Pelodiscus sinensis: one gene and its partners. The protein of the gene in region 3 purifies or fractionates together with the protein of the main gene of each other region. This does not show direct contact. Links are inferred from orthologs where the notes say so. Each region holds a gene or a part of one and is shown on either strand. Other genes may lie near its edges.

What was found. Proteins that work in one complex are often made in the same cells at the same time.
Region 1: the proteins of PPP1CA (region 3) and PPP1R3D purify together in Homo sapiens (affinity purification with mass spectrometry; 3 studies listed by BioGRID and IntAct, counting the BioPlex papers as one, with this or other methods). This does not show direct contact. The link is inferred for Pelodiscus sinensis from reciprocal best matches to the Homo sapiens genes PPP1CA and PPP1R3D.
Region 2: the proteins of PPP1CA (region 3) and PPP1R9A purify together in Homo sapiens (affinity purification with mass spectrometry; 3 studies listed by BioGRID and IntAct, counting the BioPlex papers as one, with this or other methods). This does not show direct contact. The link is inferred for Pelodiscus sinensis from reciprocal best matches to the Homo sapiens genes PPP1CA and PPP1R9A.
Region 4: the proteins of PPP1CA (region 3) and PPP1R37 purify together in Homo sapiens (affinity purification with mass spectrometry; 3 studies listed by BioGRID and IntAct, counting the BioPlex papers as one, with this or other methods). This does not show direct contact. The link is inferred for Pelodiscus sinensis from reciprocal best matches to the Homo sapiens genes PPP1CA and PPP1R37.

Annotation. Positions count from the first base shown.
Region 1 is NC_134728.1:11,448,742-11,456,078, reverse strand, and holds PPP1R3D (protein phosphatase 1 regulatory subunit 3D), read right to left. Parts: upstream 3,011-7,337; 5' UTR 1,736-3,010; coding exon 812-1,735; 3' UTR 313-811; downstream 1-312. UniProt on the Homo sapiens protein: Seems to act as a glycogen-targeting subunit for PP1. PP1 is essential for cell division, and participates in the regulation of glycogen metabolism, muscle contractility and protein synthesis.
Region 2 is NC_134712.1:211,751,478-211,758,373, reverse strand, and holds the start of PPP1R9A (neurabin-1), read left to right. Parts: upstream 1-3,886; 5' UTR 3,887-4,356; exon of another isoform or gene 4,357-4,621; intron 4,622-4,740; exon of another isoform or gene 4,741-4,969; intron 4,970-5,034; exon of another isoform or gene 5,035-5,179; intron 5,180-5,219; exon of another isoform or gene 5,220-5,270; intron 5,271-6,896. UniProt on the Homo sapiens protein: Binds to actin filaments (F-actin) and shows cross-linking activity. Binds along the sides of the F-actin. May be involved in neurite formation. Inhibits protein phosphatase 1-alpha activity.
Region 3 is NC_134714.1:127,062,107-127,069,717, forward strand, and holds the start of PPP1CA (serine/threonine-protein phosphatase PP1-alpha catalytic subunit), read left to right. Parts: upstream 1-4,596; 5' UTR 4,597-4,753; coding exon 4,754-4,808; intron 4,809-6,978; coding exon 6,979-7,110; intron 7,111-7,325; coding exon 7,326-7,556; intron 7,557-7,611. Other genes in the region: TBC1D10C (carabin), read right to left, coding at 826-1,030, 1,548-1,563, 2,954-3,139. UniProt on the Homo sapiens protein: Protein phosphatase that associates with over 200 regulatory proteins to form highly specific holoenzymes which dephosphorylate hundreds of biological targets.
Region 4 is NW_027465849.1:7,336,486-7,344,412, reverse strand, and holds the start of PPP1R37 (protein phosphatase 1 regulatory subunit 37), read left to right. Parts: upstream 1-4,917; 5' UTR 4,918-5,531; coding exon 5,532-6,093; intron 6,094-7,927. UniProt on the Homo sapiens protein: Inhibits phosphatase activity of protein phosphatase 1 (PP1) complexes.

The DNA.
Region 1 (7,337 bases), on a different chromosome or scaffold from region 3:
TGCTTTGGTGTAATGTAGTGAATATAGTTATGCAAGAAAGAAGCGAGTTTCTATTTTAAAACTTTATCCAAAGAACTGCTTGAACCTCGCCTTGAAAATATCAGGCTTTTCCCCAACCAGGCCAGCCTTATGGCTTAAGAAACACAATTTAGCAAGAATCACTCTGACTCTATCAATGGCAAGCACAGTAAATAAAAAAATGAGAGAGAGAGAGAGAAAGAGAGAATCAGGTTAAAACCTTATTTACGGGGACACCATCAGGTAGCTTCTGATCAATAGTTAGGTTTTGTTAAATAATACTGAAACCAAATATCAATAGAAATATGCATGTATTTAAACAAGAATACAAATAATTTGCATATAAACATTGTCCTGCAGTGTTTGCAGCATTGGAATTATACTCAATAACCAGTGTAATACTACAAACGACACTATAACAAAAAAGTAAAGCTAACCTATTTTCCATTAAGTGCAAAAAAATTAAACAGTATAAAACAGTGAAAAATAAGTTGGAATTTTGAACTTTTTTGTTTAAGTATTATTAGTAACAAACAATTTTCTTTTTGAGATATTAACCTGACAATGCCCCTTTGAACAAATTCTGCCCCCATTTGCATTCTATGAAATCTCCTTGAACCCCATGAAGTCTCATGGGATGTAAATCCATGCAGGTTTGGCTCCTTATCCTTTCCAAAGCTCTTTTGAAACATCATTGCCTCTTGAAGGATTTCTGGTGCCAGAGAAGCAGAGAGGAACGCCAAAGCAGCAACAGCAATTGCAGCCACTCTATATCCATATCTTGTCTTCTTCCTCAGATGAAATGGATCCAGCTCTTCTCACATTCCCTAGGCATTTTGAGAGGGTGGCTCCTGCAGGTGAAGCTGTAGTTCTTACCTTGGTTGTTATCCCAGTACTCCTGCCCATTGACTCGATATCTCACTGCAAACTGGACCACAGAGCACAACTGGAGGAGGAAAGGAGGCATGGGGAGAAAGAAAGTGAAGACATCAGCTTGACCTTTCCCATTCTTGTCAAGGTTGCTGCTGTGCCAATGAGCACACACTTCATGCACGCTCTTCCACTGGTTGAAGGTGTAGCGCACAGACACTTGCTTCTCAAAGGCCACATTGAGAACTTGGATAGTGCCACTGATCCCCAGGTCAGAGCTGGTTACACATTCTAGACATACCAGCTGCTGCTGAAGGCGGGTGGCGAAATCTGCACAGTCCACAGGCTGCTGGAAGTCAGGCACCAAGCACTGCATGATGATCTCCATATCTACCTGGCTACAGCAAAGATCTGAATTGATGGAAAGCCTGGAGAGGACATGCAAGGGGATGGATGGGTCCTCCCCAACCTGAAAGACTTTCACTTCAGCCAGCTCCAAGCCCAACGCATCAGCAAATCTCACCCGGTTTCTGCGGTTTCTGCTGCAACCAGGAACACGGCATTGCACTGCTGTACTCTTCAGCCTCTCAGGGGAGGTGGGCAAAGACCTGGCTCGTCGGCGTATGATAGGCCGCAAGTGTGGGTCACAACTGTTAGTAGTGCTGCTCTGAAGGAAACCTGGTTGTGGCTCGCTCTTCAATGGGGTGCTCAGACTAGTACTGCTTCTAGGTGGTTGGTGGTGCTCCTGCCACCACCGGCCTGGACCCAGTGCTTCTTCAGCCTTCAGCATGTTCTGATGAAGATCAGAGAGGTAACTTGAGCTCTTCCGAGGAGCACGTAGCTCCATTTTTCCTGAAGGTAAAGTAATAAGGTTCACGCCACAGCTACTGAGAACTGCCTCGTTTGTGATAAGACTCCAGAATGAAAGCAGTCACGGACACAGTGACAGAGTTGTGAGGCTATTGCACTAGATGGTGCAAGAATTGGTTCACTAGCGTTGGCTGAAGCAGTACAAGCTGTTGCAATAGATGACAGAAATCTGGAAGCTACCGTGCTAGCCAGAAGCAAAGTTGAGGCTAATGTGCTGGATGGAAAGAAATACGTTGTCTCTCTGGGTGGAGAATTCAAGGATAACAGGCTATTAAGCTGAATGGTGGAGCACTCAAAGCTGTTGCACTGGTTTAGGAGGGATTCAAGGTTATCACACTAGATGCTGGTAGATTTGATGCTGATGAAAGATGAAGACAGTTGTGCTAGATGCTGGCAGATTCAAGGCTGTTGCAGGGTTGAAGGCAGACTGCAAGCTGCTGTGATAGGCACTAAGGGGTCTGAGGCTGTTGCACAGACTCAAGGGGGATTGCAGGCTGTTCTGGTGGATTTTATAGGATCCAAGACTGACAAGAGCAGGGTTCCAGATTGTCACACTTGATGCTGGCTGATTTAGGACTTCTGCACAGACTGGATGGTCTTGCAGTCACTGGTCTGCAAAGAGGCAGAACGGAGGCTGTTGCATAGGCTGGAGGGTCTCAGGATGCCTGCTGGAGGAATCGATGCTGTAGCACTGGTTTGAGAACGAATTCAGGTCTGAAGGGGCGCTGCAGCCCACCTCCCACTCCGTCCCTCCCACTGGTCTGCAACGGCGCCCCTCCGCTCCAGGGTGGTAGCCAGAATTCAGCCCCACCTCCCTGCAGCCCCGTCCCAGGGCGCTCAGGGCTGCAGCCGCCCTGCGCATCAGCTGACAGATTGTTGCAAACCAAACCACCCTTGCAGCACTTTGCAACAGGGGCACGCGAGCCACGCCCCCTCCGGCGTTCCAACTCTGCGGCAACGCCCACCCCGTCTCCCTCAGCGTGGTAGCGGGCGCCTCCTCCGCTCTCGCGCACTTTCCTTCCCGGCCAGCCATACGACAAGGCGCTCTTCCCCGCCCCCCCTCCCGCGCGCATGCGCATTAGCACAAACGAAGCCGCGTGGGTTGCCCTCAGGCCTTGGCGGAATCTGCTGGCGAGGAGCTGTGAGGGAAGCGGTGCGGGAGGGGGATGGAGCAACGCGGGCGAGTTCTCGTGCCGCCGCGCGCCAGATCGTTGTGAGGCGCCGGGCCCGCACTCCCTTGCCTGGATGTGGCTCCTGGCGGGCCCCGCCCACTTCCCTCAGTGGGGCTCGGACGGGCTGGAACGGTGCTGCGGCCGCCCGGCTCCGCTCTTGAGCGGACCCCCGCGGGCAGGGCGCGCGAGCACGTGGCGCCTTAGCTGGCTGGGGTGGGGGCCGCGGGGCAGAGGCAGCTGCGGGAGGGAGAGGGCGGACCACGGGGCCGGCCGGACGGGCAGAGCGGGAAGGGGGCCGGGAGCCTTTCTACTCGGGCACTTTTCAGTTGTCAGTGCAAATCTGAGTGTGTGTGTGTGTGGGGGGGGGGGGGTTCTAGGAAACTGTTGCGGGGAAGGGGGGGCGCAACTAAACGTGGCTGGATTTGTTGCCTAGTCACTTCCCCAGCTCTTATTTGATAAAAGATTCTCTTCCCCCCCCCCCCCCCAATCAAACATAATTTTCTGTTCGGTAAATTTTTTTTCTTCCCGGATTAGACTCATAGACTTTAAGGTCAGAAGGGACCATTATGATCATCTAGTCTGACCCCCTGCACAGTGCAGGCCACAGAATCTCACCCACCCCTCTTAGAATAATCCTCTCACCTATGTCTCAGATATTGAAGCCTTCAAATACTTTGAAGGCCCCAACATGCAGAGAGTCCTTCAGCTGTGATCTGTGCCCAATGCTACAGAGGAAGGCGAAAAACCTCCAGGGCCTCTGCCAATCTACCCTGGAGGAAAATTCCTTCCTGATCCCAAATATGGCGATCAGCTAAACCCTGAGCATGTGGGTAAGACTCACCAGCCAGACACCCAGAAAGTTCCCTATAATGGATTAGGTTTCCATACCTATTTAAAACGATTGGAGTGTTTTCTATGCTCCAGGGAGCCCAGCATGGCCACTGTCATCTTCCCCAGCACCATGTCCTGCTGGACCAGATGTGCTGATTTTCCCCAGCAAATGCACAGGGTTGGGAAAATAGCCCCCACAGCAGAGTAACAGACGCTGGTAATCGCAGTGGGAGGGCTCAAGTACAGGGACTTGACAGCATCCAGGACAGCCCTCAAAAGGGACCAAAACCCCTGATAAATCTATCTTACTTCATTTAAAAGTTTTACACCGAGAAAGCTCAGAGTTTTCTCTCTTTATCAATGAAAGAGATATGCACAGTAGGGATGTAATAGTGTAGTCGATTAACTGATAAGTTAATACTATAGATTACATGCATTTCCCTCCCACACTTGGCAGTAAATATTTTAGCTGGCTGGCAGCCTGGCTTGTGATGGGTCTGGGACCTACCCCCGCTGTAGCTCTGCATTTAAAATGCATTAGAAGCTGGGAGGGCAGGCAGTCCAGCTCAGTTTTAGCTTGCGCTGTGTCCCATGAAGGAAGCTGGGTTTTAAACTGGCTCCCCTCACAGACCAGCTCTTGCCTGGAACCCCATGCTGCTGCCTTTATATCAGAGGCAGCAGCGCGAAGCGGCAGGGGGCTCCTCTGGAGTGGGGCCGGAATGCACTGGCTGCCGGCCCCGGCCCCCAGAGATTGTAGAATAGTCAACTAACCAACCGGTAAGAATTCATGAGGTTACTTAACTATTCAATTAACCAATATTTAACATCCCTAATGCACAGTTATTGCTTCCCCCTAATTATTTACACTGGGTTTGATAAAGAAAAGTATAAAAAGGTGGATTTAAGTGATTAGAAGTGAAAACCAATCAAAGTTACTAATCTAAAATGAAACAATCCAACTAAGCCTAATAAACTAAGAGAGATTGTTACAGTTCATATTTCTCTGCCTAGCCTTTATTTCAGGTAAAATTCTTCAAATTGGAGCTGATCTTTTCTGTGGCCTGGATCTAACAAAAAAGAGGGAAGCTGGTATCCTACACAAAAAAAGGAGAGGACATAGTTTCAAAAGACGGTTAAAGACTCATTGGTTGCTTCCCATTCCTTAAATAGAATTTCCCCAGGGCAGGAAGTCGTTGTTCCATTCCTCGCATCCCAGTGGAAAAATACCAAGTACAGGATGGATTCCAGGAGTCGTTGAATACATGATTAACTGAAAAGCCCAGGCTTATTGGTTAATCTTATTGATTACACACATTCTTCCCCCCCCTTAGTTGCCTCTGTATCAGAGATAGCAAGGGGGAGGCGGGAGTTGGTGCTGGCTCCCCTGAGCTGATACAGAAGCAGCAGCGTGGAGTGCTAAGGGGCTTCCCCAAGAGTGGGGCCAAGAGTGCTCTGGCTGCCAGCCTTACCCCCAGGGACTATAGAATAGTTGTATATTAATGTGGCATGGTTACATGTTTTTGTAGGATCCACTACAGTTTAGGCTTAAAGGAAAAGCAAAAATCATTTACAGATCATTGGCCTGAGCAGCAGGCCATTAAGTTCCTTAAATGCCACTAATGACTTTCACTAGAAATGTTAGCTGCTTAAGCAGGTTTGCACTTCATATTTCTAACTTCACAAGAATGATACATGTACACAAATAGAATATATGTAGTTGGGATAACAGGCTTTGGAATTATAACTCACTTGTCCTGTTTTGCATAAAGCATATTTGAGTTATGCATATTCAAAAAATTTTCATAAAAATATGGAGGCTCAGAGTCAGAAGAAAATATTAGTCATTACGATCAAAGTCCTGTTGCCATTTTAGAACTGCATGATATCTTGTTCAATATAACTGGGTCACTTGCCATTAGTCTAGGTGGTATTATCTTGTCAACATCAAGCCAGCTTCAGTTACACCGTGTTAATATTGCAGCCCAAAAAGCCTCTCAGTACCATGTGTGCCTTTATAAATTACCATAAAACTTCTTTTCCCTTGTGGGTCGGCGTTTAATGGAGGATACCAAAATAAAGGAGCAAGTGAGACATGTATTTCTCCCCCTCCCCAATCTTACAGTGTCTTTCCCTGTAAGCCTGAATAGAGTCAGTTGAGGGACAAGCAAAAATCATGTGTCTGCGTGTATGTTACCCTTGTTTAGGTGCGGGGTCACGTTTCTCACAGCTAGAAGGTTAAATGCACACTGGGACTCAGAAGGGTGTGGAGGGAGGGAGCTGAATGCTAAACTGTCATATCTGTGGACTTAGAAGCCTTTATACTATTCATCAGTGTGTCAGAACCTCTGAAATAAACTGATGCAGTGTTAGTAAAGGGGTGTATAATGCTCCAGTCACAAGTATGTGTAGAAAGAATGGGAGAAAAGTGAATCTGAATGTCAAGTAAAAGACATGAAATGTTCAGTAAAAAGAAAAAATAAAACTTTCATCCATCTCTCAATACACCACAATAATAAGGGACGCTCAAGCAAAGTTAATTCTTTTCTGGTAATGTTCCTGTATGATACGGTTTGTATTTTTGAGTAAAGAACGATGGACAGTTCCTGAAATTTAAATTGCTACAATACAAATGGGCTGTGTCTAGACTGCAAGTTTTTCCGCAAAAGCAGCTGCCAGCTGTCTACACTGGCCGCTTGAATTTCCGCAAGAACACTGACGATCTCATGTAACAAATCAGTGCTTGCGGAAATACTATGCTGTTCCTGTTTGGGCAAAAGTCCTTTTGCGTAAAAGGGCCAGTGTAGACAGATTTGTTTTGCACAAAAAAGCCCCGATCGCGAAAATGGCGATCGGGGCTTTTTTGCGCAAAAGCACATCTAGATTGGCACAGACGCTTTTCCACAAAAAGTGCTTTTCTGTTAAAAGCATTTGCGGAAAATCATGCCAGTCTAGATGTAGCCATGCTGTTTGACTAGAGCAAAAAAAGTTGGCTTTTAACTTTTAGTATGAACATCCTCCAGTAGTAGTAGTAATAAATAATCATAAACTGGGTAACATCTTGATCTCCCTTCTCTTTTTGACAGAGGGTGCCTGCCAACCTATTTCTGACATATCTATTTAAATCTAATAGCTTAGCAGCAGGGTGGTGCCTTTGCAGCAGAACTATGGGAAGCAGGTGAGCTATGAGAAAAGATTGTGATCTAAAGACTGTTTCCCAATGGGGGTATTTGGTTTTTTTTCAAATACGGTAGACGTACTTGCTAAACAATCAATATTAGTTTGAATAATGATTCTGTAAATTAAATGTATTGAAAGTTTTCATATTTTTAAATCTTCCCCAATTTCATACAGAAATTGAATCCAAGACCTGGTAGTTCATATGTGAAGGGTGAGACCATGAGTTTCTCTCTTGGTGATGGTGGGGAGGACATGGCTGGTGTTTGGGCCAGCTTTGGCTTTAAATTGATTTTTACTCACTGATTTATTTTTTTCTTTTATTTATTTTACGTATTTGTATGGGCGGGTTTTGCCCTAGGGTTATCATGGTTGATAACGTAGTGGCAGCCACCTTTATCT
Region 2 (6,896 bases), on a different chromosome or scaffold from region 3:
CGGGCTGGTTTCTATCCTTCCCCTTCTGTGCTGAGCACCACAGCCCCTCTCTGTGTCCTCCTGGGTCCCCACGGAATCTACTTGGTTTAAGCAGGCCTGCCCCTCCAATTCCTTCCTGTTCCAGTCCCTCCAGATGTGCTGAAATCTGCCCTAGTCCCGCCCCAATATAACTGGGTAAGTGAGCTTTGGGGCTAAGGCCACTCAGCAAATTGTTTCCTCCTTCCCTTCGGCCAGATGGACCCATGCGGTCGGGGCACTTCCCCATGCACACATTGCATACGCAGCGGGAGCCCTGCCGACTAAAAGTGCCTCACTAAGTATGCCCTCACGACGGTTTGGCTACAGCCCGTATCCACAAGGGCCTCCACTGGCGTGCCCTCCACGCGGACCCTTACAATTATTCTCCCTCCTCCTATGGGTTGTTCCCTTTGGGTTACCGTTAACACTTGCCCAAAGGGGCGGTCCCATCTAAAATGGCCCTCTTGGCCGCATTCGAAACACATATTCTTGGGCTCTGCCTTACTCAGTAGAGTAGGGTTACCCTCTTCGGGGCCAGCTTGCACTCTTGCGGGGTCCTCTCTTGAAGGGCTAGGCCACACGGGAGCCAATCGTTGTCCCCCACTGCCCCCCAGCCCTGTGGTGGCTTTCTCTTGATTCTCTCCGCCCTTTTGGAGCCCAGCTATCCCCCTCTGTGTGGCCGGCGTCTCTCTTTTTGATGTACCCTTCTCCTCTATTCCCTCTGCTGCCAGGTAGTCTGCCATAAAGCCCACAGCTTTGTTGAGGAGGTGAGGTGGTGTCGCCGGACCCATCGCTGCCTCTCAGTGGGCAGGATCTGTATAAACTGTTCTAGGAAGACCATCTCCACCACCTGCAACCCAGTTTCCTGATCGGGCTCCAACCAACGTCGGCTGGATTCCTGGAGCTTCTGGGCCACGGCCCTCGGGCGGGCCCGGGGGGGGGGGGTGGTAGCGCTCCTGGAGGAACCTGTCAATAGGTCTCCAGCATAACCCCTAACTGATCTAGGATCACCTCTTTGACCTTGTGGTAGTGGAGGGCCTCCTGTACCGAGAGGCTGCGGTAGGCCAACTGCACTGGCCTTGACAGATAGGGGGCCAGGAGGGTAGCCCACTGATCTTCTGGCCACCCAGGCAGTGGTTGCAACTCTCTCAAAGATCACCATATACGCCTCTGGATTGTCTGTTGGTCCCATCTTCATTAAACGTATTGGTAACTGGTACCCGCTGCCAGGGCCAGCCTCCATTGGCCCTGCTGGTCCAGGTGCCAAGGGTTCTACGGCCGGGTGCCGCTGCGGCCATCTCTCCTGCTGGATCTGTTGTTGCTCGTATAACTTCCGTAAAAGTTGCCTTTACTGTTTTTGATTCAGCTGTGTCTGTTGTTGTTGGTGCTGTCTCTTATATTCCGCTATCCATTCTAGCAGCTTGGGGGTCTCCATCTGAGACCCCAAATGCTTTCTGAAAAACCTTCCTAAATAAAGTAATAAGTCTCTCTCTTGGGGCCGCCCAGGCCCTCACCCGCACCCCACCATCAATCTATTATCACATCTATCTATCTACACCTACTCCTTTTTTTTTCTTGACCCCTCACCTCAGGGATGGGACAATACCCACATTCTCCACCACATGTAATCCTGCTGGAGAGGGGTGTACCGTCCTACCCTTCCCCCGTCCCCAGTGGTCAGCCCACCAGGCCTTAACAACATCAGTTCTGCATTCGCGGGGACCGCCAGTGCAGCGTGTGTTCCTAGTCCGCCGGCACCCTTTGCAGCGTGACCAGTACTTAAGGTTCAGTACAAGATTGGTAGGGTGAGCAGCAAGGGAAGGTAGGGGGGCTCGGGCCTGCCTTCTCTCCGAGCCCTGACGCAAAGCCCTAAGAACCAGAGGGTTTGTCCCTGGTCTGGTTGGTGGGGTTGTGATCCGCAGCACAGCAACCCACAGGCTATCCATAAGCCACGTCCTGGGCCACTTCCTACCTTCCTCCTGCGCCCTCCAGCTGCTCCCTCCAGATGGGCAAGTCTCTTTTCTCTCATGCTGGCAGCGTGCCTTTTGAACTTCCCGCCGGTGCCATGTCTGATGTAGAGAGGGCCGCAGCTTCACGCTCGGCACCTTCCCTTTACTCTCACCAGGATTGGAAGGGCTGTCCGGCATTGCCGGCAGCTGCCAAGCATGCGCGGCAAAGTCGGGGCTGGGCTTGGGGCAGTGCCTCGCTTCAAAGCTCTGGGGACGGCAACAGCTAGTGTGCAGGGCGCCGGGGCATCCCTGACACACCCTGTAATACCTACCAACTAAATATGCTTTATCAAGTATATCTTTTTGTTTTGTTAATAAAATCACCTTTTTTTAAGATGATGATTTGAGTCTTGTGTCCTGGAAAGAAACAGGAAGTCTGTCTGTGTGGGTATGTCTGCCTGCCTAAGACTGAGTGGTCAGCTACCAGAGACTGCAGTTTATTTTCTCTTTGTTTTTTCAAGCTCTCTTATGGTAAAAGAGCTTGAGCTATCCCAGGGGAAGGAATTCAAGTGTTCCTCCCCTTTTTTTAGGGTTTAAATCACTTGATGGTGGCAGCTTTTTTTTTCTCAGAGCCAGTGCATCTGTGACTCTAAGACATTTTTGTAAACAGAGTCTATGGAGGCAAGATATTTAAGGTCTCTTGTGGGCCCCTATCTTCTGCACTCGGAGTCCAGAGTGGAGAACAGCCCGGACACCAGCTAAACATGTCAGTAAGGCTAATGCTTACCTGGTAACCAGTTAACCTTTTACATCTCTACCATGTGCCCCAAGCCCTGGGTTTAGTTGTGGCAGGAATTCCAGGATCTGCCTGGAATGAGATGGTTTTCCATAACATAGAAAGGGAGAGGGCTGATCAGAGGGACAGCAATATTGTAGAGTGACTACTGGGAGCAGCCACACCACCAAGAGAGTGGCAAATTAGTTCTGGGACTTGCCATTTTGCCGGCCATCGGACTGTTGGCCCGTCCCCAGTCCCACCCCCTCTGCTGAGGCCCCACCCCCTGAGAAGGGGAGGAGGTGGGGCAGTGCACTGAGCGCTCCACAGTCACTCCGGAGCACCAAGGTGGGTCGGAAGGTGTGGAGAGGGAAGGGGAGTGTGTGTGCAGTCCAGCTCCTGGAGCATTAGGGGAGAGGAGGAAGTGGTTCCAGCCTTCCTGGCCTGGTGCTGAGGGCAATAACACTCTGCCCCCAGAATGCCTACAGTAGACGCTCTGGAAGTGGAATGTGGGCATGCATGGCCAGGTTGGTGGTTTGGGAAGGCAGCGCCTTCCCTTGCCTAAGCCATTGGATGCCCACGGACTGGTAAGTGACTCCCTGCCTCAAACTCATCCCTTTGCCCTTGAATGTGACACTGGATTGTGTGCTTTGCTAGACAGGTGGAGAAAGCCCAGCCCTGAAAACACATCAAAGGGCAGGGTGTATGGCCCCCGCCAACCCAGCCCCAGGAATATGCCAGCTTGGTCCCAGAGACATGTTGGTGTGTAGGGTGCACAGGGCAGTGGGTGGCCACCGGCCCTGCTCTGACTCCTGCACCCTCAACACCATGCCCTGAAAGATCTGGGGAATGCCAGGTAAATCTTCTAGTAAACTCTTTGTGAATTGCTGTATGATTTACAAATCATCTTCTGGAGTGCCAGTTTCCCAAACTACTTGGGAGATATTGCTGGATTCCCTTCTCTGGAATTAAGTTTTCTTATCATCAATGCAAAACCTGGAAATGATTGTGGGGAATGTTGGCCCACTAGCAATATTTACCTAGTTAACAAAGAAATGTCAGCAGTATCTGGGCTGTTTGTGTGCTTAAAAAAAAGGAACCAGTGTAGACCTATCTGCTTAACCCAGCAAAAATACATATATTGTAGTTCCAGATTGTTTTGTTTTCATTTGTGACTTGCTTGCACGTTGTTCAAAGGCCACTTAAAAACATTAACGGAGGGCGGAGGAGAGTCCACCTCATGCCTATCCTCATAGGCCTGATCCTGCAATAAACTCTCTCCTGGAGCTTCCTGTCCAAGTGAAACTTAAAGTGCAGAGCTGGCCTGACTCAGGAGAGGTCCGCTGGCGTCGGTCTGGCCTGCGGAGGATGCCCCGTGTCTGCGCCCCCGCAGGGGTGAGGCCGGAGTCAGAGCATCAGTCTCACCTGCGGCTGCCGGGCCCCCTTTCCAGCGGGGTCGCAGAGCCAGCGGGAGAGTCAACAGGAGCCTAGAGCAGGTGCACGGCCCGCGCTCAGGAAACCGCCTCAGTCCCCGCGCCAGTGGCTCAGGTCTCCAGGGAGCAGGTTGGCGCGCGGCTGTCCTGTGGCCGGTGTAACGACCGGCCCGGCCCGGGGGTGAGTGCCATGGCTACGGCTCAACGGCCGCGCGCGGCGGGAGGAAGTGACCTGCGCGCAGACCTGGGGGAGGGGACGGGGCTGGTGAGCTCGTGGCCGGAGGCGGCGCGCCCGGCCGGGCTACTGGAGGCGCCCAGGGGGCTGCAACAGGGTCACCGGCGCCCGCCCTCGCCCCTCCCCGCGGACTGGCCGTGCGGCCGGACTGCAGCTGGAGCGTGGCTCGTCCCCTCCCCGGCGGAACAAACCATTGCGGCGCGGCGCGGAGGTGAGGCACCTGTCACCCGCCGCCCGCCCTCGGCGACGGTTGGTGGCAGCGCACCCCCGCGGGGCAGACGTTGCGCAAGCCCGGCCCCCAGGGAGCCGGGGGGGGGGGGGCTGCGGCGGGGCGCGGGAGCTTCCTCCCCCCAGCTCCGTGTGCGCGGAGCGTGTCGGCGCCCGAGCCGCCGCTGCCTGCAATGGCGCTGAGTAGCGGAGTCGGAGGCTGCTGCCCGCTGACAGGCTGGGGGCGGCAGCCGCGCTCTGCCTTGGCGCGGGCGGCTCGGAGCCGGGGGCTGGGAGAACTGCGGCTCTGAGCGCGCAGCCAGCCCGGCGCGGCGTGCAGCTCCTCGCCCGGGTAAGGGGTCCGGCGCGCACTGGGGAGCGGCGGATCGGGGTGCCGCTTTTGTTTGCTTCCCCCCGCGCCGGGACACTGAGCTTTGCCCCTGGGTCGGCCAGGGCTGCTGCTGCCCGTGCGCAAGGTGGCTCCTGAGCCGGCGCGGATGGGATCCGCTCGCCTTTCGGTCCGGAGAAACGGGTTCTTCGCAGCACTTCCCCTTTCAGACAGGTTTGCTCGGTGTCGCCAGACAGGATCCTTTTACCTTACCTTAGCCTTTCCTTTTCTTTTTATTATGATCATTGCAAACATCGGCTGGAATCTGTAAAGGGGGAGGGAAAGAGAAATGATCAGTGGCTAAGAAAAAACCCTGCTAATTATACCCGCGTTTCTATAATTGGGATTTTTTTTTACAAAATTAATGATTCGCAGCATAGGTGCTGGAACTAGGACTATTGGGGGTGCTGCAGCACCCCCGAGATTAAAGCGATTTCCATCATATACAGGATTTACAGTTTGGTTCAGTGGCTCTCAGTACCCCTGCACAGCCTTTAGAGCCTTAGCTGTGTGCAACCCACTGCTGCTTGTGCATGGGTAGCTGGCTGGGCTTGAGTTTGAAGGTTTTGCTTTGGAGATTTAAGTGTGTTCTCTATCAGTAAGGTAATGAGGGGATTGTGCCTTAATAGCCACGTAATATTTCTTAGTCTAAAATGACCTCTTAGGCTTAAAGATTGGTGAATAGATGTGTAAGATACTTGATCCATAATCTTCTTGCTCTAAAGTGCTAGGTGTGACTGCAGCGGTATAGCATTCCTCCCTCTGGGTAAGGAGCACAACATCACTCATGCATTGCATTTGGAGCTTGCAGCAGTAAATGATAGCCTTAGAGAGAAAAAAGGAACCAGAAGGACACTAATGAGTGAGATTTTGCTCTCTGTTAGTCATATGTTGTTCCCCTGCAGTCCTTGGGTCTGATGTTCAGGCTGGAATCAGACCCAGTCTCATTCTTTATTTTAAACACCACTCAGAGCATCTCCTGCCCAAACTGAGAATCTCCAAATTCATTGTGGTGCATCATATCACTTTCCGTTCAGTTTATTATATTTAAAACAGTCTTTTTAGCTTAGTGACTTTGGGCATGCAGATGTGACCGGGAAGACTTAACGCTTTAGCCTGTATCTCCATGTTTTACAATACATTAGATGTTTCTATGTTCTTTGTCATTCTAAAATAATACAAGAAGTGGAAAGGGGCAAGTCTTATTAAATTTCACTTCACCATTTTATACACAGAACTATACCTTTTGGTGCAATTTTTAAAAATTCTTTAGCGCTGTTGTTTCATTGTTGAATGATTATTCATTGAATAGAAACACTATTCAAAGCATATTGGTGAGTAGTTCAGTGAAAACCTAGGTGGAACTGCAAATGTTAGTGGCTCAGGGAAGCACAATCATCAAGTTTGCATGAAATATTTCATACCCAGATACAAATAGCTTTTTCTATATATTTCTTTTTATTTTGTCCCTTATCATCTTCAGTGAAAAAAAAATTGACTGCAATGAAACTTTGGTAACATAATTTTCCTTGTAATTTTATTCTTTATAATTTTGTGTTTCACTGCAACAAATTTATTTGTGTTGTAATATGTTTGTAGCATAAATATGAACAGCACAAAATTGCCATGTTTCATAGTGGCATGTTAATAATTGGTACTTGGAAAGAAATGTTATGTGAGCATGCTAACTTTTTCACACTAACTGTTGAATCTTTAACAAATTGGGTCTGCTTTAGAATTTTAATACATATATGTGTATTTTGGTATTGATGCTGTGTGAGGGATGAATCCCTGTGGGTTTTTTTGTATTTTTTTTATTAAAATTGAAGTTATTGATTAGATGAGAAAAAATACAAATGCATAACTTGACTTTAAATGTTGTACTTTTTGT
Region 3 (7,611 bases):
TTGCACTTAAATTCAAAAAGCGATCTTGGGCTTCAAAAGGTTGGAGACTATTGGTGCAGACTCTTCCGAACCCCACCCCAAAAGCTCCAGCAACCCCAACTTAGCCAGCCATGAGGCTGCTGAAGCCGACTCTGCCTGAATCCAGCCTTGGGACACTGCACCTCCTTGTGATTCCCAGCTGGGGGAAGGAACAGAGCGTGAGCCGGGGTGCCCTGGGCCATTGTGCCTTCCTGGCAGAACTGGCTCATTAGCAGCTTGGTGTAGGGACCCTCGGGGGCACCACTGGCAGGTCCCCTGGGCCAGGGCTCTCTTACATCAGGCTGTTAGGAAGAGGGGACTGGTGCACAGAGGCATGATGCAAGAATTGCAAACTGTCCCCCTCCTCAGTGCCCAAGACCCTCATTCCCCAAGCTCCACCCCTTCCCTGCTTTTGCCCCACCCCTAGGAGGAGCAAGACTCGGAAAGAGGCAGGGGGCAGGGCAACACCCACAAGCTGCTACTCTTAGCTTGGGGTGTGGCCTGACTCATCCCCAGGCCAGGGGCTCAGTTTCTCCGCGTATGTCCATTCTTTGGGCTTGAACACCCCATAGCCTCAGTGCACAGAAGGGGGGGATGCTGGATTCTGGCACAGAACCCAAGAGATTGTTCTGCGGGGCTGGCAATGGGGGTGTCAGTCCAGTACCCACAATGGCTCCAGGGTGCAAGAAATCAGGACTTGGAATAGAACCCGGCATCTGGGCCACCCCAGCAATGCCCTTCACAGCACCTCCCGCCCCCACAATGCCCCCCTTTTAGTGCTCCGATGCCCAGATGTGTCCCACTCACCCATCCTGGGCACTGTTGCCCCCTAGGAAGCCGTAACGGTCCGTCTGGCGATAGGGGGCAGCCCCATTCAGCTCAGAGTCGGAGCCCAACGAGCTGGAGTCATCATGGCGCCCCAGGGTGGAGTCAAAGGCATCGGACAGCTCCTCCAGGGTGCTGAGGCTGGAGGAGTCAGCGGAGGACATAGGGCCGGATGCCATGCCGTGATCTCAGCACCCTGCAGGGGAGGGAGGGCAGGGACAGGGGCCCGCAGTGAGTGCCCAGCAAGGCCAGCCCAGAAACGAACATCCCAGGAGACAACCCTGAAGTATAACTTGCCAGGCCCCTCTCCCCGTCCTCTCCAGGGGCTGCCCAGCCAAGGCCCCTCTTACTCATTCCTCCCAGGGTCTGCATCACACAGTCCCTGCTCCATCTCTGCCAGGTTCTGCCCAGCTCAGGGTCCCTCACCCTATCCCCCTCAGGGTCTGCCCAGCCCAGCCACTGAACCCCCATCCTACTCAGAGTCTTCCCAGCCCAGGGGCCTGCACCCCCATCTCCCTCTGGGTCTTCCCAGCCCAGCCACTGAACCCCCATCTCCCTCAGGGTCTGCCCAGCCCAGGGGCCCGCACCCCCATCCAGGTCTGCCAAGCCCAGGCCCTGAACCTCCATCTCCCTCAGGGTGTGTTCAGCCCAGCAGCCTGCACTCTCATCCCTCCCAAGGTCTTCCCAGCCCAGGGTCCCCTCACCCCCATGTCCCTGCACCTCCACCCCTCTCAAGGTTTGCTCCATTCAGGACCTGCTCCTCCATCTCCTCCAGGGTCTGCCCAGCCCAGGGCTCCGCATCCCCATCACCCCTATGGACTGCCCCACCCAAAGCCCCATCCTACCATCCCCGCCGGATCTGCACTGCCCAGAGTCCCACATCCCCATCTCCTCCATTGGGAATGGCCCAGGGCATGAGCTAAGGGGACTGGACACAGTGGAGGTGAGTGGGAATGCGGGTCTGCCACACACCCACATCCCCTCCAGGATCTGCCCTACCCAGCCCCACACCTCCATCTCCCCCAGGATCTGCCACACACCCACATCCCCTCCAGGATCTGTCCTACCCAGCCCCACACCTCCATCTCCCCCAGGATCTGCCACACACCCACATCCCCTCCAGGATCTGCCCTACCCAGCCCCACACCTCCATCTCCCCCAGGATCTGCCACACACCCACATCCCCTCCAGGATCTGCCCTACCCAGCCCCACACCTCCATCTCCCCCAGGATCTGCCACACACCCACATCCCCTCCAGGATCTGCCCTACCCAGCCCCACACCTCCATCTCCCCCAGGATCTGCCACACACCCACATCCCCTCCAGGATCTGCCCTACCCAGGCCCCACACCTCCATCTCCCCCAGGATCTGCCACACACCAACATCCCCTCCAGGATCTGCCCTACCCAGTCCCCACACCTCCATCTCCCCCAGGATCTGCCACACACCCACATCCCCTCCAGGATCTGCCCTACCCAGCCCCCACACCTCCATCTCCCCCGGGATCTGCCATACACCAACATCCCCTCCAGGATCTGCCCTACCCAGGCCCCACACCTCCATCTCCCCCAGGATCTGCCACGTACCCACATCCTCTCCAGGGTCTGCCCTACCCAGGCCCACACCTCCATCTCCCCCAGGATCTGCCACGTACCCACATCCCCTCCAGGATCTGCTCAACCCAGGACTCTTCCCCTCTAGGGTCTGCTCAGCTCAGGGCCCCTCACCCTCATCTCCCCTCAGTTCCAGTGGAGGGCCCTGTGCTCCCATCTTCCCCAGGGTCTACCTAGCCCAGGACCCCTCCCCCCCAGCATCTGCCCATCCCAGGGCTCTGAACCCCGACCCTTCCATCCTTGGTTCCAGCCCAGAGCCCCTGCATTCCCATCCCCTGGTCCTGAGGCCCAACCCCTCTAGCCCTATGTGTACTGGAAAGGGAACACGTGTAACATCCCTCTCCCACACTCACACAGAACCCTGCCCCCCCCTTCTCTTTTCTCTCCTGCCTCCAAGCCTGGCCCCAGTACAGCTCAGGGAGGTTCCTATCGCCTCCTATTGCCCCTCCAGGAGCCCTCCCACTGAGCTGCTCCCCCGTTCCCACTCACCTCCACTGTGTCCAGTCCCCTTAGCTCATGCCCTGGGCCATTCCCAACGGAGCAGTGCCCAGGCGGTGTGGCCCTGCATCTGTCCCGTGGCAGCACCTCAGTCTGGTGCACTCCCCGTGGGTGCTGCAAGCTTATTTCCTCCGCACTGTCATTTCCTTTTGCACCTGACAGGGCTGAGGCAGCAAGCAGCATGCGGGTGGGGGAGGGGGAAGTGTATGTGGGGCAGTGCTGCCACCCTGTTTCCTGTAGCAACCCCTGCTGGCAGAGGCTGGGACTGGAGTAGCCAGGCACTCCCCCTCGCTCCTAGCCAGTGCCTCCACTCTGCTCCCCACAGCGCCCCCTGCTCTCAGAGTGAGCATCCCTCCCCACAGTGCCCCCTGCTGGCAGAGGCTGGGACTGGAGTAGCCAGGCACTCCCTCTCGCCCCCAGCCAGTGCCTCCACTCTGCTCCCCACAGCGCCCCCTGCTCTCAGAGTGAGCATCCCTCCCCACAGTGCCCCCTGCTGGCAGAGGCCGGGCTAGTGTAGCTGGGAGCACCTTACAGCTAGTGCCCGCACCCCCACAGCGCCCCCTGCTGGCAGAGGCCGGGCTAGTGTAGCTGGGATCTCCTTACAGCTAGTGCCCCACCTCCACAGTGCCCCCTGCTGGCAGAGGCCGGGCTAGTGTAGCTGGGATCTCCTTACAGCTAGTGCCCCCACCTCCACAGCGCCCCCTGCTGGCAAAGGCCGGGCTAGTGTAGCTGGGATCTCCTTACAGCTAGTGCCCCCACCCCCCAGCACCCCCTGCTGGCAGAGGCCGGGCTAGTGTAGCTGGGAGCTCCTTACAGATAGTGCCCGCACCCCCCAGCACCCCCTGCTGGCAGAGGCCGGGCTAATGTAGCTGGGAGCTCCTTACAGCTAGTGCCCCCACCCCACAGCACCCCCTGCTGGCAGAGGCCAGGCTAGTGTAGCTGGGAGCTCCTTACAGATAGTGCCCCCACCCCCCAGCACCCCCTGCTGGCAGAGGCCGGGCTAGTGTAGCTGGGAGCTCCTTACAGCTAGTGCCCCCACCCCACAGCACCCCCTGCTGGCAGAGGCCGGGCTAGTGTAGCTGGGATCTCCTTACAGCTAGTGCCCCCACCCCCCAGCACCCCCTGCTGGCAGAGGCCGGGCTAGTGTAGCTGGGAGCTCCTTACAGCTAGTGCCCCCACCCCACAGCACCCCCTGCTGGCAGAAGCCGGGCTAGTGTAGCTGGGAGCTCCTTACAGATAGTGCCCGCACCCCCCAGCACCCCCTGCTGGCAGAAGCCGGGCTAGTGTAGCTGGGAGCTCCTTACAGATAGTGCCCCCACCCCCCAGCACCCCCTGCTGGCAGAAGCCGGGCTAGTGTAGATGGGAGCTCCTTACAGCTAGTGCCCCACCCCCACAGCGCCCCCTGCCGGCAGAGGCCGGGTCTAGACTAGCTCCGTGCTCCACCTGCAGCCTGCGCTCCCACCCCGCTCCCCATAACTCCCTGTGCTGGCCGAGGTCCGGCTGGTGTCGCTGGGAGCGCCCGGCAGCCAGCGCCCCCTGCTGGCAGGGGACGGGCTGCGGAACGGCGCCCCTCCCCCGGGGCTCTGGGCGGGTGGCTGCCAATGATCCCTCCGCTCCTCTAGGTGGGGCGGCAGGCCGCGCGCTCCCGACCCGCCTCCTGGCTGAAAGCGGCAGAGCCGGCAGGTTCTCGGCCCCAGCAGCCTCCAGTCGGCCCGGACCTAGCGCAGCCAGGCGGGTGGGGGGCGAGTGCAGCAGCAGGAAGCCAGGCGTCCGGGCCTGCCCCTCCGCAAAGCCGCCATGTCGGAGGGCGAGAAACTCAACTTGGACTCCATCATTGGGCGGCTGCTGGAAGGTGCGGGGGAGGCCCGAGCAGGGGGCTGCGGGCGTGGGGGGGGGGGCTGCCCGGTTGCATCCTGCCCCCCCCCCCCCCCGTGCATAGGCTGGGCCGCCGGCCGGGAAGGGCTGCGGGAAGCCCCGGGGCTGCAAAGACCCGGGCCGGGCGCTCCGGGAAGTTCCGCGTTCGCTCCTTTGTTTTCGCTCGGCTCTTCCTGCCGGCTGGGCGATCCCGGGCGGAGGGCGGCCCCACGCGGGGCTGGGCGCAGGGAGTGGGTGGGTGCAAGGAGGGCCGGGGCTGGCCCCTACGCGGGAAGGCGGCGTGGGGGTCGCGGAGCTCCAGTGGTCTCTTCCACGCTGCCCCGGGCCCCTGACGGGTCCGTTTCGCTGCAGCCCCGTGTGGGGCGCGCTGCCCATAGGCCCCATGGAGGAGCTAGAGACTCCTATTCCTGGAGGCGCGGTGGGGGCTTGATCTCAGATGGGGGGAAGAGTGTGGCTGTTGGTGGAGGAAGAGGGGGGCAGGGAGTGGGGTGTTCCTGGCCTTTCACCCTCCCCGCCACTTAATTCCACGCAAAGAATGGGGACTATCCCCCAGGCCGGCCCCCAGCAACATTAGTTATGGGGAGCGGGGGGGAATCGAGCTCCCTTCACCCCACCCGCCCCCAGAGCCCTGCTGTGTCTGACGTCAGTTTCCTTCTTCCTGAAAGCCCTGGGGGAGTGTGGGGAGGAGCCTGAGTTCTGGAGGGCTGGGACCGGCCTGAGCAGTCCTGGGGCCAGAGTAGGTGCGGGGAATGTTGAGTAACCCCTGCTTTCCTGGCCAGCCCCCCCCCCCCCCTTGTGTATATGTGAAACGGGGAGGGGGGAGGTGTTAACCAGTCTTCCTAGTGCTAACTTCTTTGTTCCAGTGCTGCCAACAAAATGTGTGGGGGAGATTAGCTGTTACTTCCCTGATCCTTTTAACACTAGGGGTGTTGGGGGGGGAGGGGACCCCAGCTACGTTGGCCAGATTGGCAGCAGACCACTGGGGCTAGACCCTGGGCTGAAGCAGGTGCTGAATGGCAGATTATGTGATCTCCCATTCTTGTCCATCACATATTGCAAAGCAGAGGCATCGGTTCCCTGTGTCATATAAGGAAACCGAGGCACGTAAGGAAACTGAGGCATGGGGGACGGAAGCAGCCTAAGATTAGAGCAATTCAGAGGTGGGGAAAGAACCCAGCATGCCAGTCCAGCATCAGTTGCTGGGCCACCTGCCTCTCGAAGCTTGTGTATTCTGCAGTGTGCGGTGGCGGAAAGCACTCCAGTGTGACCAGTAGGGCAAGTGTGGCCTGCCTGAGAAGGAGCCACAGTTTACCTATGTACATTGCCCAAGAGCTACAGTAATTTGTCAGCAGTCCCCATCAGGTGCCTCCTTTCCCGTCTCCATTATCTTTTCCCCACCAGATGCCCCACCGGTCAGCGCCTCCTTTTTCTTTCCCGTACCTCCTGCCCACTGCAATCAGCTGTTTCAAGGCACTTAGGAGGCTCTGTGGGGGAGGAAAGGAGGGAGGGTGCGATACACTTGGAGGAGGAGGTGGAGCCGAGTTGAGCACTGGAAGGTTGGCAGCTGGAGCTGCAGCCCCGGAGTCAGTGCCCTGAGCAAGGAGTCACATATTAACTTCAGAAGAGCCACAGGTTGGCCACTCCAGAGCTAGGGAGTAGGGAATAGGCTTCCCTCTAGCATGCACCAACTCCGATCCTACTCCATGGTGGGGGGCACTGGCTGACTCAGCAGGACGAGGGAGAGGGGCTCAGGGCCTCCCAGCTGTCCTAGTGTTTGAAGAGCCCATCTGGGTTCTGGCCAAGGGGCCTGTGTGATCCCAGCCTAACTGCGCCTCCTTGAGCTGCCTGCACAGATCAGTGAGGACCCAGGCTAGGCCAGGACTCTTGTGGTGCCTTCTTCCTTCCCCCTTTGTTGGTCTTGAGTCACCTGTTAACCTGGCCTTCAAGTGGAAGGGGCAGGGCAAACCCTTGGCCTTTGGCTGGGATGTGGTACACGGGCCTGTCCAGAAGAACCTCCGGGTTCAGCCCTGTGGCCCCCTGGATCATTCCAGCATCTGTGGAGTGGCCCTGGGATCTGTGGGAGTGTCTCTGAGCAGTGCAGGAGCTAGGACCTCGACCCAGCAGACACCCACTGTTCTATGTTGCAGTGCAAGGCTCGCGGCCTGGCAAAAATGTGCAGCTGACGGAGAACGAGATCCGGGGCCTCTGCCTCAAGTCGCGGGAGATCTTCCTGAGCCAGCCCATCCTGCTGGAGCTGGAAGCGCCGCTCAAGATCTGTGGTGAGTGAGGCTGGGGGGCGGGAGCTGCCGTGGGAGAGATGATGTGGGGATTCCCTGCACCCCTTGTTTGCTGTGGGTGGAGTCCCTGGCTCAGACCGGGCTGGGTGGGAGGTCAGGGGTGGAACTGTGGCCCCCTTGCTGGCCCTTTCCAGAGGTGACTCTTCGGGGGGGGGGATTTGGAGGGTGATCCTTATCTCACTTCCTGCCCTCCCCAGGTGACATCCACGGGCAGTACTATGACCTGCTGCGGCTCTTTGAATATGGGGGCTTTCCGCCTGAGAGCAACTACCTCTTTCTGGGCGACTATGTGGACCGGGGCAAGCAGTCATTGGAGACCATCTGCCTCCTGTTGGCCTACAAGATCAAGTACCCTGAGAACTTCTTCCTGCTGCGTGGCAACCACGAGTGCGCCAGCATCAACCGTATCTACGGCTTCTACGATGAGTGTGAGTGTGGCCCCTGCCCGAGTCCCCACCACCCTGCTCCCCACACGCCACCAGG
Region 4 (7,927 bases), on a different chromosome or scaffold from region 3:
CAGCTCCAGGCACACAGCGTATGGGTGGCCCCGCCCCCGGGTGCCCGGCAGCCCCAAAAGGTTGGGGTCCACTGATCTGTCTGATTTCATTCACAGGCCTTAATGTGCTAGGCTCTGTGCGCACAGAACGTGCAACAGACAGCCCCCGCCCGGAAGAGCTCACTATCTATCCAGATGAGGGAGGGAGACTGAGGCAAGGGGAGGGGAAAGGTTTTGCCAAATTCACAGTCCAGTGAGTGGCAGGGCAGGGAACACACCCCAGGGCTGCAGTCCAGAGCTCTACCCACTAGGCTGTGCTGCTTCTCAACCCAAAGGGAGGAAAGGAAGACAAACCTAGGGGGCACTGACGTCACATGGGTTACGCACAGTTGGCCCCGCTCGTGCTTCTCAAGATGGAACGAGATGGGGGTTGGGGTTGGCTCCTGATGACTGGAGCTGAGGCTGGGCCTCCCTCCCCGGATGAGTGGAGAACGGTGGGAGCAAAGCGAGGGGAACAGCCGTACTGGCGGCCATGTCCCAGCCCTATGGTGCGCAGGGCTGCCCAGTGTGGGGAGGGATCGGCAGCACTGATGGGGCAGCTGCCTGTTCTGTGATTTGCTGCGGAGCAGCCTCCAACGTGGGGCTGGGAACCCAGTGCCCCTGTGCCTCAGGGCTGGACGGGCCCCGTACATGGGCGCAAACCCCGGTGGGTTGGCAGCTGGTGACCACGCTGGCCCTTTATGACAGTGGAGGCTCAGCGGTGACAGGTTTAGCTGCGGTCCCAGGTGAAAGGAAAGAGGGATACAGGGAGCATGCGACTAGGCGTGTGGCCTGTTGGGAGACACAAGGGCCGCCTGGGAGCAGCATTCAGCAAAGAGCGATTCCAGGAACAGTAGTATAGGGCTGTCACGTCACGTCACTTTATGACAGGCTAAGTGCAAACCTGGGTTGTGCTGAGCATATAGGAAGAGACGCTGGGGAGGAAAGACAAAACAGGCTGCACAGTAGGGTACATAACCCCATTCTTTAGGTAAATAACCCCATTTTTTAGGGCCGTAGTACCGGAAACCCCCAGAAGAGGGTGGCTTTTAATACTCCTTCCCTCTTTTGCAACTCCCTGTATTGAATTTACAAGGAGGAAAGTGTGAGAGAAGGGATGTGATTTAACTCCTGTGTCAGACCAAGTCTGTCCCCTAGGTGTGGGAATTGTGGGTACTGATGGGGGTGCTGCAGCTCCCCCAGTTTTTGTGCAGGGTCCTGGCCACCAGGCTGTGCTCAGAGTCCCTGGTGCACCTGGGAGCCTGGCTGCAGGACTCTCCTTCCTGGAGCACTGTTCCCAGCCCCACATGTGGACCCTGGCTGCAACTGGACTTGCACCCACAGCTCTGTTCACAGCTCCTGGACTCTGTCTGTGGGGTCCTGGCTGCTCCTGGCCCTGCACTGAGGCTCTGTTCCTGGCCTCGCACATATGGCCCAAGACATGGTCCCTTTACCCCTCTGCATCCCCCACCCCCCAAGAGCTACAGGCCTGCTCCTGGCCCCAACTCTGGGAGGTGGAGGACACAGACAGGAGTAAGGGGGTGGGGTGAGGTAAAAAGTCTGGGGTGGGCCCCACTGGCTTTCAGGAGACCCGCTATAAAAATGTTCCAGTTTGTCCCACAATGCACACGCCCACGTTAAGGCCTGCAAAATCGAATGCTGAAGGCAGCTCCAGTTGGCGCCGGTGCTCCGCACAGTCTGGAGGAGGAAGGGACGCCGACGGGAGCATCTGGTCCCATTGGCTTCCCACTGTGAAAAAGAAGCCAAGCTCGGATTAAGGTACGCCGACTCCAGCCACGTATTTTATGTAGCTGAAGTCGCGTACCTGCAGCTGACCTTCTGGCTCCAGTGTAGACCTGGCCTGAGTCCTGCAATGCCGTGGGGCCAGGGTTCACTGGCTCTGGATGGTGCTTGTCATGGCAGCTTGCTTTCTCTTTAGCAGAATGAAGTTGTGATTTGAGGCCAAAAACGTGCTGGGTCTAGCCGGATCCTTGTGCCAAACGTATATTTTCCATCTGCTGCTCTAGAAGCCTGTTTTTTTTTTTTCTGGTCAGCTGGATTAGAAAGTTTATTTTCTTTATTGATGGTTTATTGATTGATGGCTTGTGACCAAGAATGGGTAAGATCCAGCTGGCTGTGTAGGTGCTAAATAGGTGGTTTTCTGTGGGGTGCATTGAGATCTGCATTTTTCAAATTGCAAAATACCAAGTGTGAGCAGGATCTGAAGGAATGTGTCCCTTATAGCTAGTTGGAATGGGAGAGAAACCCTGGGTGTGTTTATTACGTAAACACCGCTTGCTCCTGCTTTGCTTAGATTTGCTAGTCAGCAGATGGAGTGGTATTGCGCTCATTGTAATCCACGTCATTTGTAGCCCAACACCCATTGGCTACGTCTAGACTGGCATGATTTTCCGCAAATGCTTTTAACGGAAAAGTTTTCCGTTAAAAACATTTGTGGAAAAGAGCATCTAGATCGGCACGGATGCTTTTCTGCAAAAAAACCCCGATTGCCATTTTCGCGATCGGGGCTTTTTTGCGCAAAGCAAATCTGAGCTGTCAAAAGCTTTGCACAAAAGGACTTTTGCCCGAACGGGAGCAGCATAGTATTTCCGCAAGAAGCACTGATTTCAGACAGTAGGAAGTCAGTGTTCTTGTGGAAATTCAAGCGGCCAGTGTAGATAGCTGGCAAGTTTAGTCTTGCTAGTCTAAACACAGCCATTATGTTTTCCAGGTATCATAAGGGTGTCATAAGGAGGAGGGAGAAAACTTGTTCATCTTGGCCTCTGAGGATAGAACAAGAAGCAATGGGCTTAAACTGCAGGAAGGGAGGTTTAGATTGGACATTAGGAAAAAGTTCCTACCTGTCAGGGTGGTCAAACACTGGAATAAATTGCCCAGGGAGGATGTGGAATCTCCATCTCTGGAGATATTGAAGAGTAGGTTAGATAAATGTCTATCAAGGATGGTCTAGACAGTGCTGGGTCCTGCCATGAGGGCAGGGGACTGGACTCAATGACCTTTCGAGGTCCCTTCCAGTCCTAGTATTCTATGATTCTATGTTTATACGAAATGCAGGGGGAGCTGAAATATGGTTACTGATGTTTTTAGTTTTGGAGGACTCCAGAAAAGCAGGGCTGTGCTAAATTGTTCCACATGAAAGAGCTCACAGCAGAAAGATTCTTGCAAATGTAGGGGCTTGAGTGTCAGAGCTCTGAGGGTAAGAGAAGGTTATCCTGGTCAGGAGGTGATGTGGTTTCCCCTGCCTGGACTGGTTTGACCTAATTCCTCCCACTGTTCAAAGAGCAGAGCTAAATAGACATCAGTAGGTGCCTCTTTTCTTATATTAATTGTGTTGGAGTTTAAAGACTAAGGGGGTAGCCTTGTCCTGACTGCTCATTATATAGAGGGTTTTTTTTAGGCTCTAAGACCTCGTTTCTCAAACTGTGGGTCACGAGCAACTTAGAGGAGGGTCCAGTATCAGAAAGTTTGAGAACCTCTGCTCTAAAGTTACGTCTACACAGCAGCATTATTTTGGAATAACATCCGTTATCCCGAAATAACTATGTGAGCGTCTACACAGCTAACCTGTTCTTTCAAAAAAAAAATTCGAAATAATGGGCAGCTTATTTTGGCCTTTGTAAACCTCATTTCATGAGGAATAACGCCTGTTTCGAAACAGCTATTTTGTTCCACTGCTACTATTTCAAAATAGCTCCTCCCCAAGGCATTCAAAATAATTACTCCCCATGTACAGATTGACATACACTGGCCACACACACAGAGGCTATACACAATAGAAATGTAAAGTGGACACACACAGCAGCAGAGACACACACACTGGCCACACACAGCAGAGATGCACACAACACACACGGATACACACACAGGCTGTACACACCAGACACACACACACTGGCTACACACAACACACATGGATACACCCACCCACACCAGAGACGCACACAACACACATGGATATACACCCACCCACACCAGAGATGCACACCACACACATGGATACACACACCCACACCAGAGACACACACCACACACATGGATACACACACCCACACCAGAGACACACACAACACACATGGATATACACACCCACACCACAGACACACACTGGCTACACACAATACACATGGATACACACACCACACCCACACCAGAGATGCACACCACACACATGGATACACACACCACACCCACACCAGAGATGCACACCACACACATGGATACACACCCACACCCACACACTGGCTACACACCACACACATGGATACACACCCACACACCCACACACCGGCTACACACAACACACATGGATACACACACCCACACCAGAGATGCACACAACACACATGGATACACACACCCACACCAGACACACACACACTGGCTACACACAACACACATGGACACACACACCCACACCAGACACACACACACTGGCTACACACAACACACATGGATACACACACCCACACCAGACACACACACACTGGCTACACACAACACACATGGACACCCACACCCACACCAGAGATGCACACAACACACATGGATACACACACCCACACCAGAGATGCACACAACACACATGGATACACACACCCACACCAGACACACACACACTGGCTACACACAACACACATGGACACACACAGACACACACACACTAGCTACACACAGCACACATGGACACACACTCACACAGGTTGCACACACCAGACACGCGCAGCAGGGACGCGCACGCGCACATGGACACGCCCCCCACTTAGGGACGCCGGGGCGGGGCCTCGTGACATGTGGCGGGTCCCAGGGCGACGCAGCCTGCGCTCGGCCCCGCCCCCGCCGCGGACTTAAAGGGCCAGCAGCCCGGCGGGGGCGGGCCAGGCTGTTTGGGGCGCATCACGTGAAGCTGACTATTTGTCCGCGGCCTCTTTCATTAGTAGCAGCAGATTCGCGCCTTGTTTTCGAGCCCCAGCGCGCGTCCGGCGCCTAGGGAGTAGGCAGCCGCCTCAGGGGGGCGCATCCTCAGCTTCCCCTCCCCCCCCGGAACGCGCCCCCAGTGCCGCGCCGAAAGTGCCGCGCCGAAGCCTCAGCCGCCTTCGCCCGGTGCTGGCGGGCTGGCCGCCGCCGGGTGCGTGCGACGACTCGCAGCGGCTGATTCGCTACGGAGACGACCCTTTACCGGAGCGTCCCGCGGCGGCCGGCCGGCCCTGCCCGCGAGGCCAGGCGGCGGGATCTTCCCCTCCTCGGTGCCGCGGCGGCGGGCGGGGCCCCGCGCCGGGCGGGCGGCCGCCGCCCGTGGCGAAAGTGCGGGCCGCGGATGGGCAGGCCGCTGGCGCACTCCGCGGGCGGCGGCTTCTCTCGGGTCCGCCGCGCCAGACCGCGGCTGCGCTCGGCGGCGGTTCCCCGGCGCGCGGCCTCCCCTCGCGGCCCAGCCCTCAGCCGGGCCTGCGCGGGCGGGGCGGGGGCGCCCGCGGAGTGATGCCGCCCGGGCCCCCATGAGGCGGGGAGCCATGGAGCGCGCGCCGCGCCCCCCCCGGCAGCCGGACGCGGAGCCCTGCGCGGGCGCGGAGGAGGCGGGGGGCGGCCGAGCGGGGCTGCAGCCCCCGGGGGGGGCGGGCTTGGCTCGCCTGGAGGAGGCCGGGCGCCCCCCCCCGCCGCCGCCCAGCTCGCAGGCGGCGGGGGGAGGGGCCGCCCCTGCCGCCCGGGGGGGCTCGGAGCGGGGAGCGGAGCCGTCGGAGCGGGGAGAGACTCTGGCCGGGAGCCACCCGCTGCAGGAAGCCGCCTCGTGCCCGCCTGCGGAGCGGAGCAGCGCGGCCGCCGACAGAGGATGCCCGGAGGAGGAGGAGGAGGAGACCTCCCTGCCGCAGGGGAAGCCGGCCTCGCCGCCGTCCCGCCGCGGTGCTTTGGACTCCGACGCCCCCAGCCCGCAGGGCGACCCGCGCGTGGAGCCGCCGTGTGAAGAGGGCAAGCTGAAGAATGGAGCAAAGCGGGTCACGTTCCCTTCCGACGAGGACATCGTGTCTGGGTCTGTGGAACCGAAGGATCCCTGGCGACATGGTAAACTTTGCAATTCACTCGCGCTCTTCTTCTCAGGCTGGTTTGTGCAAATGGTATATTGCCTGAATCGTCCTTAAAACACAACACAGAGACAAGCACCTTAAACAAAATACAGGGCTATGTAGCACTTTATGTAGCACTTTGAAGACTAACAAGATGGTTTATTAACCATCTTGTTAGTCTTCAATTCACTCGCGCTCTTCTTCTCAGGCTGGTTTGTGCAAATGGTATATTGCCCGAATCGTCCTTAAAACACAACACAGAGACAAGCACCTTAAACAAAATACAGGGCTATGTAGCACTTTATGTAGCACTTTGAAGACTAACAAGATGGTTTATTAACCATCTTGTTAGTCTTCAATTCACTCGCGCTCTTCTTCTCAGGCTGGTTTGTGCAAATGGTATATTGCCCGAATCGTCCTTAAAACACAACACAGAGACAAGCACCTTAAACAAAATACAGGACTATGTAGCACTTTATGTAGCACTTTGAAGACTAACAAGATGGTTAATAAACCATCTTGTTAGTTTTTAAAGTGCTACATAGTCCTGTATTTTGTTTCAGCTACACCAGACTAACACGGCTACATTTCTATCACTAAGCACCTTAAAGACTAACAAAACACGTCGATGAGATCGTGAGCTGTCCTGGGTGCAACCCACTTCTTCAGATGACCGGAGAAAGAAGTGGGTTATGCCCATGACCGCTCATGATACCAACATGTTTTGTTAGTCTTTAAGGTGCTACTAGTCTACTTGTTGTTTTTTTAAGTTTTTCCTGTTACAGACTAACTTGGCTACCCCTCTGAAGCTTCTGAATAGTCCTGTTAACTTCAGTGAGGATCTGTCCGCGTGTTAAAGGGAATTGTTCCCAAATGAAGCAGAACACTAAATTGCTTATGTTTGTGGTATAACAGGAAACTCGGAGATGACTTTTCTATAAAATGTTTAAATATGCTTTAAACAGAACTAAGCAGTTTGTTTCAGATTTATACAGCTGTACTACCCATTTGGTCCTTTGAGTGTACACAGGATCTTTATAAAAATTAGTCAATAGTTAAGAGGAGTTTTGACTAACATTAAAGACTAACAGATTTATTTGGCCATAAGTTTTCGTGGGCAAAGACCTACTTTGACTTTGTGGTTCTTTACCCATGAAAACTTATGTCCAAATAAATCAGTTAGTCTTTAAGGTGCCACAGGACTCGTTGTTTTTGCAGATAAAGACTAACAAGGCTACCCAATCAATAATTAGAATCCAGTGACAAGAACTGAAAGCTAAACTGATATTTATTAAAACTTAAAATACAATGATGGTCCTGTAGCACCTTAGAGACTAACAAAATATATGAGTAGTGTCCGGAGCTTTTGTGGGCACAGCTCACGTCTTCAGATCCATATTTGTTGTCTGAAGAGGTGTGTTGTGCCCACGAAAGCTCATGATAATATTTATATATTATTATTAGTCTCTAAGGTGCTGCAGGACCTTTGTTGTTGAAGTTTTTTTTAATTTCAGGCCAACATGGCTACTCCTCTGTGATATTTATTAGTTATAATATGCCGGCCTTTTAATGTAAATGGCCATTCTGCACTGTTTTAAGCACTTTCCTGATCCAGGTGTCTGTAGGACTGAAGATTTGAAAAAATGTAACTTTGTCAGTAGCACAACTTTTTCACACTTTGTAGTTGTTGAAAATAATACCCTTGTTTAGCAGTCCTCATGTTGTTGTTGTTTTTTTTTCTTCTGATTTTTGCATGACTGACTTAGGAAACAAGCAAACTTGGTCTCCTGGAAATGTAAAGAAATAATGATCTCTCCACTTCGTAATGTTTT